Danio rerio: one gene and its partner. The protein of the gene in region 1 interacts with the protein of each later gene in a biochemical or structural test. Links are inferred from orthologs where the notes say so. Each region holds a gene or a part of one and is shown on either strand. Other genes may lie near its edges.

The links. The genes of interacting proteins can lie anywhere in the genome.
Region 2: the proteins of tmpoa (region 1) and lmnb1 form a complex in vitro, tested with the Homo sapiens proteins (2 studies listed by BioGRID). The link is inferred for Danio rerio from reciprocal best matches to the Homo sapiens genes TMPO and LMNB1.

What each region holds. Positions count from the first base shown.
Region 1 is NC_133179.1:17,454,669-17,458,168, forward strand, and holds part of tmpoa (thymopoietin a), read right to left. Parts: intron 3,287-3,500; coding exon 3,137-3,286; intron 2,061-3,136; coding exon 1,924-2,060; intron 1-1,923. UniProt on the Homo sapiens protein: May help direct the assembly of the nuclear lamina and thereby help maintain the structural organization of the nuclear envelope. Possible receptor for attachment of lamin filaments to the inner nuclear membrane.
Region 2 is NC_133185.1:18,316,619-18,320,612, forward strand, and holds the start of lmnb1 (lamin-B1), read left to right. Parts: upstream 1-1,194; 5' UTR 1,195-1,234; exon of another isoform or gene 1,235-1,358; intron 1,359-1,485; exon of another isoform or gene 1,486-1,511; 5' UTR 1,512-1,518; coding exon 1,519-1,880; intron 1,881-3,994. UniProt on the Homo sapiens protein: Lamins are intermediate filament proteins that assemble into a filamentous meshwork, and which constitute the major components of the nuclear lamina, a fibrous layer on the nucleoplasmic side of the inner nuclear membrane.

The DNA of each region.
Region 1 (3,500 bases):
ACCCCACGCTTCCAGTCTGACGCATTTGTGTGTGTATGAATAGAAGTCTATGGGAGGAAAAGCCCAGTGTGACCGCACCTTACGTGTGTTGGAGTAGGGTTGGAACTAAACTGTGCAAAGCTGCGGCCCTCCAGGGACACCCCTGGACTGAACAATCAAGAATAAACTAAAAGAAATGTAATTCAACTCGATTCATTTAAAATGAGTTCCATTTATATTATAAATTTATATTTTTCCTCTTCAAAAGTGTTTGTGTAACCTAAACAGAAGTTTTTTTTCCTCGCAGTTCTGCGATTATAAAACATACAATAAATTCAATAAATGCATTAACAATACCATGGTTAAAACATTCAAAAATAGTCAAGATACAAGTTGCTAACCAGTTACAATAAGATTTCGTTGCAAATAGACATGGGACAAAGTGTACCGCCGTTTGGAATAGAAATAGTTTGTGTTTTTGAAACTAATGAATGACAGCAGAAGTCATTGATTCATTTGAATTATTCAGCCTGACATGTTTACTGCTCCGAAATATTTGAAGTTTTTTTAAAAAAAAAAAAAAAAGAATATATTTTAGAGCAATAATCACAATACCATGAAACCGTAATATTGTTATTTTGATGATATTGTTACATTATTGTTTTCAAATCCAGAATGGAAACATTAATACACAATGTGCACATATTATAGTCATGTGACAGCCTGAAGAACGTCAGGTCTTTTCTACAGCAGGTGGTGCTGCAGTACTCATAAAAGAAAAAGCTGGGAATATATTCAGGTTGGATGGGGTTAAAAAAGAAAAAGGAATTATTTATATTGGAGAGAAAATGGTCTTCTTTTCTTTTTTGTCCAGTAAAGGGTGGAGGCATGTAGTGATACTGTGTGAACTTTATAAAAGTTTTAAAAGTCTTTGATAACAGAATCCTCTCAGCTAGAGGTTTACAAGAAGCCTAAACAGAAAAGTTTCAGATATGCAGAACTGAGTAAAGTCACACAGCAATGAGAAAGCTACGCATGTCTGAAGGAAAGAAGGGAAGGAATAAGAAGATAAATAAAAGAGGATTAAAGTCTGGGTCAACTTAAAGCCGAAGTAAAAAAAAAAAAAAAAACAGACAAGGGATATGAAATGAGGAGAGCTGCTAGCTGTAATTAAAATCAAGTGGGCCCTCATATCTACAGTCTGGGGATTTTGTTTCATTTACCACACAGTCTGAAACTTCTTTTTAAGAACAGTTCGAATTAATCAACTGAAATGAGACCACTTACATTACACACTTACTTGCTTGATTGCAACCAACCAGCAGATTCATTAAATGGAAAATAAACTAACTGGATATTTTGGAGTGTTCGGAAACAATTTCAGTTACTGTTTTTAAAAATATCTGCATGTAAACTTTCACAACCCTCTAATTCTGTGAATTTTGTAAGTAATTATTTGTACAGGACATAAATGAGGAATTTCTCAGTAAAAAAGTATGCATTACATGATACAAAATAACAAAAACAGGTGTGTTGAAACAATGACAAACTTGCCAAGTCATTTAGTGGAAAAGCAAGTTTTTACGTAAAAAAAAAACAGGATGCAAGATAAGAAAATTAAAATGATAAAACACTAAACAAGTGTAAACGGGATTAAACATTCATGTATTTGACTTGGCTCATGTACTTACTCACCGCATACCCTAACATGACCTAACATGTGAACTTTATGGGATGTTTTTATCAAGTACAACAAAGCAATCCTTCTCTTGCCACCCACATCCTTTTCACATGCTTAATTTTCCACTTGCTCATATCGAGTCACGTAACATGGGTTTATTCGTTCATAGTATGGAAGCACCTTGCACATGATGCAAACGTGATGTAATAACATTTAAAACACCTGGAAAAGGGAAAGAATGAATGCACCAATTTCATCCTTACCCTAGTGTGTTGCCCACTGCGTGTCCTGCTGGTCACTGGTGTTTTCCCTCGACTCCTGACTGGTCTCTCCACAACAGGGATCAGTTCAGCCTCCACTTCTGGTTCAGGCACAGTCACGGGGGCCGGAGCTACGGGTTCTAACAGACATGCAAGACGAAGTTAAACAAGTTCATACTATTGCATCTTATTTATTTATTATAACGCCAGCTTATTTGACAATATCGTCATAGCAAAAATATTTTATGAATAATACAAATATAATACATTTAATAAAAACATTAAAACAAACAAGTTGCATTACATTGAACTGTTTGAATTAATATATACGCAGTAATGAAATATCCTTAAATTAGTAGTTTTCTATATTTGTTTTATGTATTTTATTGCATCATGAGACCTTGATCATTCCTCCAACAACTTTTAACCTTGAAAAGTTTTAAAAAGAGACTTTTATTTTAATAGTTTAAAGTGATATATGGTGTTGGTGTTGCATAACGGTACAAAATCTGCCAGTACATTTTATTATTTTACACTATTTTTTCTTTCCATATTATTATTTCTTAAACATATTTTTTCAAACTACTAAAACATCAATAAGTCACTTTTTTGAACTGTAGAGCTGAATTATCCACATCACGAATTACAAAATACAGAAGCAGATATGTTATACACTGTAGGTTAAAAAAAACAGTTAATTTTACATTTGATTACTCAATAAATGGGGCAGGACAAAATAGCGATATACATAAGGTGGCTATTCTATAAATGGCAGATTGAACCTCATATCAAATGTTGCAATTCTAAGAAATATATGTGATGTTAATAAAAGTAGTATATCTTATGACTTTAATGCATTTATCCCTCTTGATTTACAAATATGATATATTGTGGATGGTTTTCTTGCGATACATCACTAATATGGTGACCTGTCATTATCAGGGGCAATATATCATGATGATATCGTAGTGTAATACGGTACCTGAATATCGGACTATTATTTCACTTTGGTCTTTGTTCTATCTTAAATATTCATTCTTGCAATTTCTTTGATTCACTCCTCTGCAAGATTATTCCAATCAAAGGTAATGATTTTATTCCAAGTAGAGCTTTATGTCAGAAAAAATTGTATTCACATAGAAATATAAAAATCGCAAGAGAATAAAATAGTACAATGTCAGATTTTTTTTTTTTTAGGTATTTGGTAATGTGTTACCTTCCTCCCTGTCGCTGTACTGGTCTGAATCATTGTTGCCATTCTGATTGCCATCAGTCTGTGACGTCTCTGAGGGAAGAGCCACAGCTACAGGAGGACCCTGATCCAGCAGCTTCTGAAGCCGCTTCTCATACACCTTCCTAGTGGATGCTGATGTGAAGAAGACATTAAATGTCAGTATTAGGTCTACACAAGAATCATCCTGCCCAAAATGTAATGTTTATTAAAGAACACATATATTTAGGAGATATAGTTGTTATTACAATTAAGACTAGTGTGTTATTTTCCACTTGATTTCCACTTGGTTTTCTGGAAATCCGAACAGTATTGAGGTAAAATTGAAAATAAAGCACCGTCTATTTGA
Region 2 (3,994 bases), on another chromosome or scaffold:
CAGCCAAATGTTGTACAGCTTTTCTACAGGAAGTCTTGGCTGGTTTGATGTTGACCCATTGTAATTTTTTCCCTCTCTGAATACTTTGCAAGCTTTTGACACATTACATTCTTGGATAACAATAAATAAATGTTCAAGTATGAATGCACTTTCAGTTGAATACTTAATATGCCGAGAAACATGTTACGTTGTGAATGCTGTACAGTTACAGTAATGTGGTACATGCTTTAATTTTAATTGTACTAGTTAATGTCAGTAATGGTTTAAATTGGTTTTAATTTAGTTTAAGTTTAGTTGTAGTCGTATGTTGCACATCTGTTTTGATTTATTAAACTGATGTTTCAGTTTATACACGAAGGCAAGCGATGCGTATTGTGATACATTTATTTTTGTAGTTATTCTTGTTTCCAGTTTCTACATGCGCGCGCGCGCGCACACACACACACACATCTCTCTCTCTCTCTCTCTCTCTCTCTCTCTCTATATATATATATATATTTAAATATTTCCCAAATAATGTTTAGCAGAGCAAGGAAATTTTCACAGTATGTCAGATATTTTTTTTTCTGGAGAGTATTTATTTAATTTCGGCCAGAATAACATCAGTTTAAATATTTTAAAAAGCCATTTTAAGGTCAAAATTATTAGCCCCTTCAAGCTGATTTTATCCCGATAGTCTACAGAACAAACCATCGTTTTATAATAACTTGCCTAATTACCCTAACCTGTCGAGTTAACCTAATTAACTTAGTTAAGCCTTTAAATGTCACTTTAAGCTGTATAGAAATTTAAGCTAAAGAAAAATATCTAATATTTACTGTCATTATGGCAAAAATAAAATTAATCAGTTATTAGAGATGAGTTATTAAAACAATTATGTTTGGAAAAATGTGTTGGAAAAAAAATCGTTATTTTTTTTTTCTTCTTTTCTAACATCTCAATTCTGTTTTGTTGTTGATTACAGTTATCGACCAAAATCATCGCGTAAAATGTAGTCTGACTACATTGGATTGTTACTTTGTTTATATTCATTATAACAAGAGCGAAGGGCACGTGCATATTAAATGATACTTTCAGCGCGTATTTGTGTGCTGTTTGAATTTTGTCTCAACTGCACCGTTGACCGTCTGATGACGTGGAGGTTGCTGATTGAGCGTATGTGGTCACATGTCAGCGTGGTTCTGATGAGCGGCCATATTAGTTCAGTTCATTCTTTCATGCCACTGGACTCACAGTAAGACACCTAAACATTTATTTTATATTTCACATTAATACTAATGTAGGATACAGTAGTGTCTAGAAGATCACTTTTAGGGTTACACTTTGTTAGGTGTTTTGTTTTTATACTTTACCACAAGGTAAATCGTTTTTGTCGTATTCGTAGTCATTAGCGTTGATTCATTTGATTAGATGTTTGCTATTCACGTTAAATCCTCATCTGGTGGTTATTTAGTCGAAGAATGACCAGACATTTATAATTCACAGTGAATCTTGTTTTACTCATAATTCAGCTGAAGAATGGCGAGCGCGGCGTGTACTCCGGCCGGGCAGCAGTCGTTGTCCCGCGGCACCAGCAGCACTCCACTGAGCCCCGCGCGGATCTCCAGGCTGCAAGAGAAAGAGGAGCTGCAGCAGCTCAATGACCGGCTTGCCGCCTACATCGACACAGTCCGTAGTCTGGAGTCCGAGAACAGCGTCCTGCAAATACAGATCAGAGAACGAGAGGATGTGCGGAACCGCGAGCTCACGGGGCTCAGAACACTCTACGAAACCGAGCTGGCGGACGCACGGAAGGCGCTTGATGACACGGCACGGGAGCGCGCACGATTGCAGATTGAACTGGGCAAGATTAAAAGCGAGCAAGAGCAGCTACAGCACACGTGAGTAATTTAAAAATATAAAGTTTTTTTTTTTTTATCCAGAGCAGATTTTTAGAATTATTTAGAAACTATTACAAGCAGCTTCCGCTGACCTATCACTGCTACATGCATAACAACTGGCTATGTGTTACCATTAGTTGAGAGAATAATTTTTTTAATTTGATCACTTAAATAAAAAATGTATACCCCATTCCTGGCCTTTTAGAGTTTTTTGTTTAGAGTTTTTCAGCTTTCTACATTGGAAATCTCAGTTGTTAGCCCAAAGCTTGCCATCATATAGGACCTGTCAGCTGTCCTTTTCTAACTAGGGATTTGAGTAGATGTGTGATGAATTGGTCTCACACTAACCAGTTTTATTGCCATGCACATTGGGAGACCGTATTGCACATTTTAGACTAATTTATTCATCAGAGTTGTGACCTGCATTTGTTGCTTGATTGACAGGAGCAGCAGTCGTTAGTGTTGTTTCAGTGCTTTACACTGAACAGTCTTATTGGTGTAGAGCAGCTGGAAGATGTGAATGTTCAGCAGCTGCTTTAGAGTTTCAGTGTGAATCGGCTCTTTGTATGTCTTCTAATGTGAGTAACAAATGTTTTGATATTCTGTTATAGAGTCAGTTAAAGTCAGAATAAGTCATTCTGAAAATGAGAGTTGACATGTCTTTCCGAACCCACTGTCTCAAAACCCAACAAGTCATCTTCTGAATTCATGTAGAAGTTTGATCAGTGATTTTACACCAGGGGTGCCCAAACTCTGTTTTGATCCTGGAGCGCCAGTGTCCTGCGTAGTTTAGCTCCATCTTCCTTCAACATGCATGCTTGAAAGCTTCTAGTATACCTAGAAAGAGCTTGATTAGCCAATGCAGACGTGAATGAAAATGATTTGTCATGTTAAGCAATAACTTCTCTTCCAAATACTTTTTTGATTGAACCTTGATTCATTCACCTCTTGAATATACAAAATCTCTTTAGATTTCATGAAAAGAAAATGTATTTGTTATTCTAAAAATGAAAGGAAAGACTTTTGCTTGTGGTGATATAAGGGTCTGTAGATGACTGTTTTTTTTTAAGATTAAATAAACCTTCCATTCAAAATTAGAAAGAAAAAGCTTATGGTTGGACCGATCATGTCTTCTAGCCAGTCTCGGCTGTGTGTGAGACATTCCACACATTCCAGCAGCATTCTGCAGATTTTAAGTTCACCTCAAGAGAAAGAGCTTTGGAGATTACAGAAGCACGAATAATAAACTTGAAAGTATCTTGATTATTAGCTTCCTAATCATGATCAAGTTAAGTTAGTTCAAGACCAAACCATCAACAGACCAGCCTGGCTCAAACCTCCAACCTCAAGCCATGAAGCCAGGTTCATCCCCAAAATTATATTAGCAGGACTGGAAAGTAGAAACAAGCATGATGACAATAGAGATGGGAAAATTGGTTTTCTGTTTCTGGATTAGAGACTCCTGCATTGATGTTTTAGTGTAAAAATATTAATTGAATAGATTTCTGGTTTTAAGAGTGCAGTCCGTGCAACTTCAGTCATGTTAAACTAATATTTATGTTGTTGTTTTTTTCCACAAATATGACATCTTTATTCAGTTGCATCTGTGTTAATTATCAAACTGCACAATACACCCTTATAGGGCTTTTAGTCCAAAAGTATGCACAATGATTTTTTTACAAAAGAAAATGCATTTATCTATTTAATTTACTTAAACTAAGAAATCTAAAGAGATTTCAGTTCCTCCTCCATCTTCCCTTGTACTGTTATGCTTTCTGCCAGTGCAATGTGGTAGACCCTAGATTAAAAACCGGAGTAATGCTTCATATCGATATCAAGAAGTTCTTTGATGCACTCAAGAAGTAGTTAACCCCCTTTTAAACTAAAGTTATTGGTCTTGAAGGGGCACACTCGAGAACCTGAATGGATGGTTGAAATGTGGCTATTCTTGGTAAACTTTTTGGATGTTTCAAGTAAAATGTTAATTTGATTTGGGTATATATATATTTTTAAGCCACTTACAAATATGTCTTCTAAATTTAAAATGACAGCGTGCATTTGCAGAAAGTGATAGTAGGTCAATATAAAATATATATTATTTTAACATGATTAAA